Linked DNA regions of Neurospora crassa OR74A. The main gene of each other region encodes a partner of the protein of the gene in region 3 in a complex. Links are inferred from orthologs where the notes say so. Each region holds a gene or a part of one and is shown on either strand. Other genes may lie near its edges. The genes, in order: un-17, NCU08353 and NCU03479.

What was found.
Region 1: NCU03479 (region 3) and un-17 share a complex: the UniProt entries of both Saccharomyces cerevisiae proteins name them as parts of the cleavage and polyadenylation factor (CPF) complex. The link is inferred for Neurospora crassa OR74A from reciprocal best matches to the Saccharomyces cerevisiae genes YSH1 and PAP1.
Region 2: NCU03479 (region 3) and NCU08353 share a complex: the UniProt entries of both Saccharomyces cerevisiae proteins name them as parts of the cleavage and polyadenylation factor (CPF) complex. The link is inferred for Neurospora crassa OR74A from reciprocal best matches to the Saccharomyces cerevisiae genes YSH1 and YTH1.

What each region holds. Positions count from the first base shown.
Region 1 is NC_026503.1:4,130,974-4,135,290, forward strand, and holds un-17 (Poly(A) polymerase), read right to left. Parts: upstream 2,889-4,317; 5' UTR 2,329-2,888; coding exon 1,429-2,328; intron 1,380-1,428; coding exon 381-1,379; 3' UTR 158-380; downstream 1-157. Other genes in the region: NCU08984 (hypothetical protein), read left to right, coding at 3,711-3,752, 3,814-3,971, 4,063-4,317. UniProt on the Saccharomyces cerevisiae protein: Polymerase component of the cleavage and polyadenylation factor (CPF) complex, which plays a key role in polyadenylation-dependent pre-mRNA 3'-end formation and cooperates with cleavage factors including the CFIA complex and NAB4/CFIB.
Region 2 is NC_026501.1:5,654,028-5,657,516, reverse strand, and holds NCU08353 (mRNA 3'-end-processing protein yth-1), read left to right. Parts: upstream 1-1,398; 5' UTR 1,399-1,718; coding exon 1,719-2,672; 3' UTR 2,673-2,909; downstream 2,910-3,489. Other genes in the region: NCU11325 (alcohol dehydrogenase), read right to left, coding at 1-442, 503-814, 876-1,011, 1,080-1,112; NCU08354 (hypothetical protein), read right to left, coding at 3,110-3,489. UniProt on the Saccharomyces cerevisiae protein: RNA-binding component of the cleavage and polyadenylation factor (CPF) complex, which plays a key role in polyadenylation-dependent pre-mRNA 3'-end formation and cooperates with cleavage factors including the CFIA complex and NAB4/CFIB.
Region 3 is NC_026502.1:551,230-555,335, reverse strand, and holds the start of NCU03479 (endoribonuclease ysh-1), read right to left. Parts: upstream 2,837-4,106; 5' UTR 2,511-2,836; coding exon 2,361-2,510; intron 2,289-2,360; coding exon 2,191-2,288; intron 1,797-2,190; coding exon 1-1,796. Other genes in the region: NCU03480 (hypothetical protein), read left to right, coding at 3,493-4,106. UniProt on the Saccharomyces cerevisiae protein: Component of the cleavage and polyadenylation factor (CPF) complex, which plays a key role in polyadenylation-dependent pre-mRNA 3'-end formation and cooperates with cleavage factors including the CFIA complex and NAB4/CFIB. Has endonuclease activity.

The DNA.
Region 1 (4,317 bases), on a different chromosome or scaffold from region 3:
GGCGAACGTGCAAGCTTTGATTGGCTGCTGGCATTTTGACGTTGACATACTGAGGCGCATATGGCGTTTTCCCCCGAGTACAACGGAACTAACAGCTCAATTCATTAGCAGAAGCAATCGACGCAGCAAAGAATTTGTTAAGATGATGTATAATAGAGCAAGAAGTGAGATGAAAAGTCACGGACGCAAAGACCACTGCGAGATGGAAACTTGGCTTAGTTGATGGGGCACTTGTGCCCCGAAAAACTAAATTTATTAGTCTAGCAGATTTAGCAACTCTATCTTAGATACATTTCTCTACACCTCGCGCGTGGTACTGCTCGCACATAGCAACTAATTTGTCCGTGACCGCCAACAAAATCTGTCTGTACATCCTTCGATCAGTGTTCGCTCTTAATGGTCGGTGGCGCGGTCGCCATCTGTTGTCGCTTGGCCATCGGGCCGTTCGCATGTTCCCCTTCGGCCATACGCTTCTTCTTCTTGACTGGCCTAACAGGCTTCGTCTCTCCAGGCTCGAAAACGTCGTCGGGGAGATCGAAATTCCTAACGTGCTGGATAGTCAATCCCATCAACTCTGCTTTGAAGATGTCGTTCGAGGTGCACATTGCCTTGAAGTCGTCGACTTCTCTGGACAGATCCAGAGACTTAGCTCCCTCTACCAGCTGCAGGCCGATGTAATGGTTAGTGGTGTAAATCTCAAGCTCCGGCTCCTTCTCCGGTATATCCTCCAGCTTAACCTTGTCTTCGTCGTAGTCGTTGGCCTCAGGCTTTACAGAGTTGTCCTCAGGCTTTAGAGGTACCGTTCCTAGATGTACCACGTCGTTCGGTTCTTCCTTGACAGCCGGCACAGTCGGCTCCCGTGCAACACCATCCTCCGTCTTGATCTCCGCCTTGACCTCAACCTTGCTGTCGTTCTTGGCGCTCCCATTCGCGGCTATATCCGTCGGCTTGACCATGTATGTGAGATTTCCGGTTTGAATCTCTTCGACCTGAGCATCCGTCTTGCATCGGTGCACTCTGTCGTAACCTTTGTTGAAGGGGCGGGCAAGGGCGATGGAAGGGTGCAGCTCAAGCTTCTGGACCAGAACACGCACTCTTGACTCGACGAAGCCCGACCAGGTATTCTGCGCCTCTTTGGTCCTGCCGGATGAGATGACCGTCAGGTAAAACTTGAAGCCGTTGGTGAAAAAGGTGTGTTTCTCGAACAAATCTTTCCAAGGCCTTTTACCCAACATGATCTCTTCGGAAATCTGCACCCCCCGTTCCAGCTCCTGTTGAATGACCGCCATTGAAGACCTTCCAACATTGTGTGTCGCGCACATGGAAGGGTATGATGGGGTGATGATGGGCATCTTGTGATTGCGATCACTCGGGTATATCTAGTCTGTGGTGAGACATCAGCGCGACAATGATGAGGGGTTGACTTACCTTGGGATTCCACACCGCTACACGCGTAATGGACTGGTTGTATTCGATATTCTTCAGAAGAACCGGGAGCGGCCATGGCCAGTTGAGCATAATAGTGAAGAATTTCCTGACGATGACAGCACTCGTCGCCTTCGGATAGAGTTGGCATACTCTGGCGACCAGCATAGCCCAAGCCACACCACCAGGATAACCCATGATATTGGCGTAGATAGCCCTTCTCTGAGCCCAGAGCTTGATTGCACGAAGTGCCAGCTTGAACGTCTTCTCTTCGGGAACCAGCGCAAGGATCTCGTCGGTTACGCGTGTTCCGTTGAGCGAGCGCACCTCGTTTTCGGACAAGCCGCGCAGGAGGTTGTTACTGTTCAAATTCCAGTCCTTGTCGTCAGGAAGTTGACGAAGGCTCTGGATTGAACAGAAGATAAGATCTATGCTGATGCCCGAATACTCGAACTTGATGATAGGAACGAAGGCCTCGGGTACTGGAGTCAGGTCGGTGATGGCGCCAGGGGGAGCCATTTCGACAAGAAGGTTGGGAAAGATGTCGAAGTATTGCTTGACGGTGACGTACTTGGGTACAACGACGAGGGTATCGATATCGGATCCTGGCCCATACACACCCAAGCGAAAACTGCCATATGTGAATATTCTGCCTCGAGCGTCGCGAATCAAAATGGCATTGTGCGGCTCCTTTTCCTGCGCGGCCCTCTTCACGAATTCATCAGTAATGCGCTGGAGATCTGCGAGCACCGCCCATCGCTTATCAGTTTCGGCCTGACTTTCGAAGGTGCCCTGCGCGCGCAGCTCTTTGAGAAGGGCCTCGGTCTGTCGTTTCTCGGCGTCGGTAGGTAGCGTGGTCGAGATAGGAGGCGTTACGCCCAAGGTTTGTTCGGGGTTCGACATGGTGGCACGAAGCGCGGTGGGACGAGGAAGCGTGCTGGATGCGCCGCTAAGAGTATCGAAGACGAAATATGTCGTGCAGGACTGATCGATGACGCTGGTCGCGACAAGAGGAAAACTGGATCGCGCGCGCAAAAGAGAGGAGCGCAGGCGCAGTGAGAGAACGCTGACGGGCGAAAATAGAAGTCTATGATGGGATTGAACAGAAGGAACCAAGCAGCTCCACGTAAGGCAAAGAACGCTCAGGTCATGATATGCTGTGCTTTTTGTTGATTCGAAAGATGGTGATACCGGATAGCTGATTGATTCTGATATCGACCCTGGGGCAGTCGGAGAAGCCGAAACCAGACAGGGTGATCGATGGGGATGGATGAAGGGGCTGCGTTAGGTAGGTTGTCGCAGAAGACAAAAAGCACGTCGCCGACTCGGCGCGTCTCGGTTCAGCCTGGGTGTTGAGCACGGACTCCCACTCACCACAAGTCTGGCAGCATGATTGGCGCGAAGCAATGTCCTGTTATTTCAGAGACGCTGGACACTGCAACTTGAAATGCAACCTGCAGGAATCACCCGTAAACCTCTGACGAGTATCCTGGGACCCGCACGGGGATACCTAATCTCCACTGAAATTCAAGTACTTTGGTACCCCCACCATAATAAGACGGGTATCATGTTGGCTTAGGTTTTGGTGTCTTGGTTCCGACAATTCAGGGAGTCAAGCTCTGAAAAGCTCAATCGTCACATTGCAAAGGCCGCTGGACTGCCGCATTTCAGGTAGAAGAAGGTCTTCCCCAGACAACCCGACCTGTTCCTTCAAGTACCTAGGTAGGTAGGCGTAGGATGTCCGTCTGTCCACTTCTGGGCATCTTACAGTACATTCGAGTAACGCCATGGGGACAGGTGAGTTGGCAGAATCAGTTCCATTTTTGCAGTAAACATCGGTCTAATATTCAGGGACGTATTCTATTATATCGGCTGTAAGTACCAATTCAACTTTGGTCTAATGCTAGGTACGTACCATCGGAGTGAAGGTCAAATGACGATAGAGTAGAAGTATGGATTTGGAGAACAGATGACATTTCAAAGCTGCCGCGGCCCCTGTGGAAGATGGGATCTGGCCCCAAGCGGCAAGCAAGGGCAAGACCGGACCAGGTGTCCATGCATCATCCACTGGAGTTCCCCTGGGAGGTCCCTTCCATAGCGCGGCCCCGCCCCCACACTGGCCCTGCAGGCCCCTGCACATGACGCTGCCGCTAGATGGAGGATCACCGTAACAGCCGGGGCAACGTTGAAAGTTTACATGGGTGTCGCATCTGGATTCTCTCGGCCTCCCCTACACTACATCCATTTTGCACCACTTCCACTTTGCTTAGTCTCAATGGGGAAGGATGAAAAAGACATTACTTCTCTGCTTCATCCACGGCTTCAAGGTATGTACAATGAGATTAAGCGACGCGCCAGCCAAGATCAAACTGACATTGTCATGCAAAGGGAGGTGAGTCGACCTTTGGCGACAACTATGCCTTCACCGAGCACCTCCGCCAACTTGTCGCGGCCGACCTACCCAAGATAAACGTCAACGTCGTGGTATATCCCAAATATGAGACTCGAGGGGACTTGGGCGAGTGCGTAGCGCGATTTCGAGATTGGTATGTGCTCATCGACCGCATCCGTTCCTTCATCTGTCACATGCTTGAAGCCCCGAACCATCCCTAACATGGGTCGCCCTCGCTATCACAGGCTCATGAATAAAGTCATCGACCTCGAAGTTGCCGCCGGAACCTCATCGCCCACCATAGATCCCTCGGTCCGCGTCGTTCTAGTCGGCCACTCCATGGGCGGCATCGTCGCCGCCGAAACCGCCATCGAGCTCTCCTCCGACAAGCCTATCCACGGCAGCACCGACCCGGCCGTCGAGGACCCGAAGCTGGACCATCGCACCGCCGACTCCGCGCCTCTCCATCGACCACCCAGCCCCAGCTCGCTCATGTTTCC
Region 2 (3,489 bases), on a different chromosome or scaffold from region 3:
ATTTTTTCGAGACCGACGAACTCCTTGTCGCTGAACACAGTCGGTTTGAACTTGCCTTCGGCAATCAACTTCATGATGCCCTGCCACACGGTCACCACCGTCTCCTTCTCATGGACAGCGTATTGGCCCCAGTGAACACCGACGAGGCTGATGTTCTTGAGAAGAACCTTGTTCATGGCCACCTTCTCGATCTTGCCGGCAGCGAAACCGACAATCAGGATGCGGCCATTCCACGCAGTACATTTGGTGCTCAGATCTACCAGGCCGACAGGATCGTAGACAATGTCAACACCCTTGCCTTTAGGGGTCAACTTCTTCACCATCTCGGGCCACTTGGGGTCCGTGTAGTCGACGACATGATCAGCGCCAAAGGACTTGGCGACTTCGAGCTTGTGCTTGGTTCCGGCCGTAGCAATGACAGTTGCTCCAAACGCCTTTGCAACTATGTGTGGGATTAGCAACGAAGTAGTTCATCTTCGAGACGGGTATGTATGCCACTAACCTTGGACTGCGGCAAGACCTACACCACCGGCCGCAGCGTGAACAAGGACGAAGTCGCCCTTCTTGACGCCGGCCCGAACAACAAGGGCTCCATAGCTGGTTGGTGCCGTCACAAAGAGGCCGGCAGCATCCACAAGCGACCAGCCTTCGGGAGCTGGGAGGAGGGCCGTCTCCTTGGCTTTGACTTTGGTAGCGTACGCACCCTGGCTAGCTCCAAACACACGTGAACCGACGGGGAACTTGGGGTCCTTGAGGCCGGAAGGGGTGGCGAGAACCACGCCGGCGAACTCGGCACCTGATACCCAGGGGAATGCTAAGACGCAACGTCAGCATACTGAATGCAATGTAAGCGGGACTCAATAAAGAAGCCGCACGTGGTTGATTCTGGTATTTGCCCTGAATCTGAAGAATGTCGAAAAAGTTGGTTGCCGCAGCATGAACTTCAATCAAGTACTCATCTGAAGTAGGTGTAGGGTCTGGAAGCTCCGTGACCCTGAGCTCTTGCGGGCTCTGAGTTAAGGGCTAATGTTAGAACCACGAAATGGGAAGATGTCCTGGATGATCGAGATAGGACATACCTTAACATACTGTGCCACCTGAATGCCTCTCATCTGGGAAGGATACCTGGAGTAATAGAGTGCTTTGTTACACTGGAAAGAAGCAGACGCAGAAACACCGAGTGAGATACACAAGCAGTGAAAGAATGACAACCTATATGATTAAACAAGGGTACAATATGGTTGAACAAATGCCGAATAGCCATCGCGGGGGTGACCGCTAGCCCAGTGTAAGGGAAGCCGAGGTAGCCCAGACCGGGATAGCTGATCTCTGATTGGTCACTCACCTTGCATCTCTCGGTGAGTCCACGTCTTATCGATTTCCAACAATCGATTTGCGACTTGTTGCACTCTTTCTCTCCAAACTCTCAACCACACCTTGCTTCAATTTTTTGAATGGCGCAACCTGCTGTGCGAACTTCTCCCGACCAAAGCCGAATTTGAAACTGGGCAAACGCAGCAAAGAATACGACTCTTGGTTAAGCGTGCATAAACACAAGCCACGCGCATTCTCTAGGCAAGATTCATTACGACTGGTCGCCCAGCTACATACCTCTCCGAACCGATCGTGAACCGCTCGCGACAAAACAAGCCTACCCACCTTGAAGCCCGAATCGCACCGGCGAACCACCTTTTTCCCCCCCTCACACATCCGCCGAGATGGCGACAACAACACAGACAACAACAAACTCCCTCCCCTCTGGGGCAGGAGGACCGCAACAACTCGTCACTCAGATGCTCAACCACACCGCGCCACACTATACCTTCTCCTTCACGCCCTTCCTCCAGCGCACGTACCAGCACTCTCTCCCCGCCGACCGACCCATCTGCAAAGCCTACGCCTCAGGCAACTGCCCCCTCAAATCCCACTGCCCCGAGCGCCACGTTACCGCGTCGTCCCAAAACACCCATGGCGGCGGTAACACCTTCAGCGGCGGCTTCGGCTCGCTAGTCTGCAAGCATTGGCTGCGCGGCCTCTGCAAAAAGGGCGAATCGTGCGAGTTCCTGCACGAGTACAACCTGCGCAAGATGCCCGAGTGCAATTTCTTCGTCAGGAACGGGTACTGCAGCAACGGGGACGAGTGTCTGTATCTGCACATTGATCCGCTGTCGAGATTGCCGCCGTGCCCGCATTACGAGAGGGGGTTCTGTCCGCTGGGACCGCGATGTGACAAGAAGCATTTCCGGAGGAAGCTGTGTTTGTATTACCTGGCGGGCTTCTGTCCGGATGGGAAGGGCTGCAAGGAGGGCGCGCATCCGAGGTGGACGGCGGATAAGGATATGGAGAAGCCGAGGGCGAAGGGGGAGGGAGATCAGATGCTGCTGCAGCAGCAACAGCAGCAGCAACAACAACAACACATGGGCGATGCTAATGGTATGGGTGGTGGAATGGCGCAGGCGACGGGCGCGAATGAGTATATGGACCGAGAGAGGGAGCGCGATCGGGATAACAGGGAGAGGGAGATGATGATGCAGGGACGCGATAGGGACGGTGGCGGGCATGATCGCCATAAGGATCGCTTTGGAGGCGGAGGAGGAGGAGGAGGAGGAGGCAGAGGCCGAGGAGGATGGAGGGGAAGAGGAAGGGGAGGATTTAGGGGTAAAGGTCATTAAGAGAACATTGGTCCCAAAGCGGCCAGGGGAGGTCAAATGGTACATGAACATAGCGACATATTTAGGCTAGTGCTCGGACGATGAGAAGGCCCAGGAATCCGGTAGTAAAGACCAGGTATGCATCACGGAATAAGGAATAGGTCACGGCGCAAAGGCAAGGTTATATCTAGTGTATTAGCTGTAGGTCAGGTTTACATTCACAGGGTTTGTGAGATTCTTATAAAAATTGCTAGCTTGACAGTTTTGAGGAGCTGTGATCTGTATGTTCTTCCAAAATAGACTGAGAGGGACGAGATCCCAAAACATGAACGCCGCTCCCTACCTAGGACACCCGTAACCAAATGATAATCAACCCACCGTCTGAGATGCTATGGCATATGCCATTCTTGTCGACACTGCCTTCTTTTGTACTCTTCCAAACTATTCCCATGAAGACTTTACTCCATCGGCACCGCAACAAACAACTCATTCGATGTGCGGGCCCCAGTCCCCACCTCCTCCTCATCCCCATTCTCGCTTCCCATAGACCTCACCGAGCCACCCGACCTTGGGCTATTAAACGAGCTATGACTCGACTGCCACGCCGCCAGCTCGTCCACCGTCCGGATACCCATCATCCACGCCACCAGCCCGCGCGGCACCCAGCGTCCGACAAACCCATACACGCTCGCGCCGAGGCCGACGCGCACAGTGCCCTTGGTAATGGACCCGTCAATCACGTCAAAAACAGCATTATGCAGCTCCCGCAACGAGCTGCCGCGCATCCCGCGGATGCGGCCCGTGCTAATGGCCGAGCTCGACTGGGTGACAAAATTCT
Region 3 (4,106 bases):
GACTACTCTCAATACCAAGCAACACGGCCATCACGGCATCAGCAATGCCGTCGTTGAGCATGTTGCCTTCCCACTCTAGTTCTACCTCGCCGCTGGCACGGTAGCGGACGGTGACGCATCCCATGACCAGGTAAGCGGCTACCACGTCGTCACCGTGGGGCAACTCCTCATCAGCTTCTTCCATCTTGGTATCGCCGTTCTCGCTCTTAACGATCTCCAGCTTTGGCTTCACTTCGGGGAGTTCTTCGACGGCACCAAAGGTTCCTTCGAGACCCCACTTGATGAGGTCAATACCAGCGGCACTCAGCTTCAAACGCTGCTTGCACGCAATAGTGGTGGTCGTCAAGCCAGCATACTCTCTGAGATCCTCCGGAGCCATCAGGGACATTTTGAAGTCGTTTTGCACCAAAACACCAGTGATAAGCTGAGGTTCGGTAGAGGAGGGAAGAGGTCCGTCATGCCCGGTCTTGGCTTCCTTTAAAGAAGGCGGGATGGACGCAAGCTTGCCCACCACCTTGGCGACTTTGTCCGTCTTGAAAGGGATGCGAAGCTCCTCGCAGTTTCTGGGGCTGAACACCTTGACTTTGTGTTCCTTGGTCGCGTTGAGCGAAAGAAGCTTGGACTTGAGACGCATCATGTTGTGCACCTCGCCGTGAACGAGGATGACGACGGGGGCGGCGACTTCCTCGATGAACTCCCTGTTTTCCACGCCGTCAACGTGCGCAGCAAAGGAGAACTCCTGGACGGTGCAGCGACGGGGGATCATGACCTTCTCGGCGTCACCACCGGGGCCGCGGCGGGCACCGGCAATGTTGCGAGACATGACGGCTTGAATCTGCTCTGGCTCTTGAAGGAGCTGCTTGGCCATGGTGCCCTCGACGGAGTAACCGGTGATGATAACGCCGTTCTTCTCGCTCGGCGCCCATCGCTCCAGCAGCTCGCGACTGACGCCATTTTGGAGCATACCAGGGGAGGCAAGCATGACGCAGCCGCCGACGTCCTCGAAGCGGTCAAGGCTCTTGAGGGAGCGGATGAACCTAAAGTCCCATGGTCCTCCCTTGCCGGCACCGTCACCGGAGGACTCGGACTCGGCCAGACGCTCGCGGAACAGCCGCTTGATGTTGTCGTTCATGGAGCCGACATAGGTCTGGTAGACAAGCATACACTTGCGCGCGAGGTTGGAGGCGTAGTAGATGGGGTATTTCTGGTATTCGGCGTGCTTGCCCCAGTACTCGTCGAGGATGAGGAGGAGCTCCTGGGCTCGACCGAGGGCGAAGACGGGCATGAGGACGCGGCCGCCTCTGTTAAGGATGCCGGTGATGGATTTCATGAGGGCCTGTTCACGTTCTGGTCGGGGAATGTGCGAGGCGATACCGTAGGTGGACTCGGTGATGAGGACGTCGATCTTGACACCCTTGGGGACTTTGGCAGAGATAAGATGCCTGTCTTCTTCACGGGAATAGTCGCCAGTGAAGAAGATCTTGAGGCCGGCGATCTCAATCAGAAACATGGCGGCGCCAAGGACGTGGCCGGCTGGGTATGGTGTGATGCGGATGGAGGAGATGGTGTGGGTAGTATTGTAGTCGATGGCCTCGATCATGGGAAAGGTCTTGAGATGGTCCTCCTCGGTGTAGACGAGCGACGATTGCGGGTTCGACGATGTGTTGCCAACACGGACACTGTCCTGGATAAGCCATTTGTAGATAGCCTTGGTGGCATGTGTCATGAAGACACGGCCTCGGAAGTTGGTCTTGGCCAAGACATATGGTAACGAGGCGGCATGGTCGATATGAAAACTAGAGAGTGGGCAGTCAGTCTCGGCTAAGGTCTGGACCAGGTAGGCGACTATGGGCGAGGACAGTGCTTCACAGAGAACATGCAGCGCGAGTGGCAGACAAGATGGGAGGGGGAAAAGGAGAAGAGCGGGCAATGGCGACAAATTCTTTTGTATTTTCATTTCCTGAATACATGTATATGATGGACGGTACAATGCTGCAAAGCGGACAAGAACCGCAGAGACCATAGAGCAACGTGTCAGTCACTGGCGATGGCGTATATCCAGAGCCCAGCTCGATCATCAACCCATCTTGTCCCAAGCCAAACACTGCGGCACTGTCTCTCGCGGATAGACGGGCATACATATAATTGTAGGCCATGGCAAAAAAAGGGGGTGAAGGGGGTTGGGCTTACTGGCTGATCAAGAGGACATCTACTGTGCTGAGATCGAAGTCATCAAAGAATGGAAGGGCAGCTAGGCCATCATATGCTGGATGTTGGCCAGCATCAAGCTACAACAACCCACGGAGAGGTCAGCCCATGTTCGTTGGGAGGAGTGATTGATTTTGGTTGATTTTGCGCACCATAACGGTTTTGCCCTTGTACTGGATGATGTGACATGATCGGCCGACTTCGTTGCCTCCGCCGAGGTTGAGGAACATGAGTTCATCCGCTGGGTCGACCGGCTCCTCTGGCTCCGTCGCCATTGCCGAAGCCTTCCGCTTGGAAGCCATGGCTTAGGTATTCTTTTGGTTCGTTCGCTCCACGCGTAAATCCTTGCTTTCCCACCGTCGCCCTGTATATACTTGGGAACTTTCAAGCTGCTGACTGCGATTGTTTGATTGGCAAAGTGTGGCGGTTTCGATGCGATTTGAAACGCGAATTACGCACGTCAATTGCGAGATGACGTGGCTCAGTCGACGTGAGAAGAAAGACGGAATATCACGGATTAGTACGCGCCGTGAATATGGATGGCGCCCTTGATGTGATTTCGTTGATGGATGTTGAATGCGTTTTGGATGAAGATGGCAAGTGCTCGTTGAATGAAGTGAGGTTGAAGTTGGCGGCTGATTTGCCTGCCGGAAGTCCCTCTTCGGTCCCAAGCCAGCCGCACAACAACCGTCAACGGCCAAATGCCCCACTATTTTCCACCAATCTCACACGTGACTGGCTCACTCACTTCATTGTACGTACCAGACGCGACCCTTGTTGAGGTTCAGTGGAGCTCGTGCCGCCGCTAGCAACAAGCAATTGAACCTGCAGCGGCGGGCAGCAACTGGTCCCGTCGTTCTTCGTGTGCGAGAGTCCCTCTTTTCGATTTTATTGTTCGTCATTCTTTCTCCGACCACCCGACCTCGACCTCCCCTCCTCCAGTGCTTCACCCAACAATCCGATTCATAACCTCCCACCGTCGCCATCACTCCCGCGGATCCAAACGACAATTAATTGTCGACCACGACGATACTCCAACGAGCGAGAAATACATCGACCAACTCGGACACCGATCGATACGAGCGACCGGCGTATGGAAGGAGAGACACGGCGTAGCTAGAGGGGCAGCGCAGGTTCGCCTGCTTCCACTTGGGTTTACGGTGACGGGAACCTGAGCACTTGATCAGTTGGGAGCTCAGCCTCGCCGTCAGCTGGAGGACAAGGAATAGCTGCTTATTATCAACGACGACCTTCATCTGTCCACCCCAAGGGCGCCCCATCACCATGGCGCAACCACCGCAACAGCCTCAGATGCCTCAGTTGCAACAGCAGCAGCCTCAGTTACAACAGCAGCAGCCTCAGTTGCAACAACAACAACAACAACAACAACAACAACCTCAGTTGCAGCAGCAGCAGCAACCACCACAAATGTCGCCGCAGTTGCAACAGTTCCAGCTCCAGCAACAACAGCAACAACGTGCCCAGATGCTCGCTCAACAACAAGCCCAAGCCCTTGCTCAGCAACAGCTGCAGCAACGCGCCCAGCAACCTCAGCAGCATGTCCAGCCTCGCCAAATTCCCCAACAGTTGCAACAACATAGCCAACAGCAGACCCAACCGCCGCCGCCGCAACAACAACAGCAACAGCAGCCGCAGCAACGTGTACAGCAACAGGTCCATCAGCAAGGGCACCAGCAAGCCCCAACTCACCAGCAACACGCTCAACAACAACCACAACACCCCCAACATCCTCAGCAGCAGCAGCAGCATGTCCCGCAGCCGCAACAACAGCAACATCATCCACAACTCCAGCATCCCCAGGCCCAGTTGCAGCAACCTCAGATCCAACACCCTAGCCCGCCAGTCCACCAGCAACCGCAGTTTGCTCGTCCGCAGCA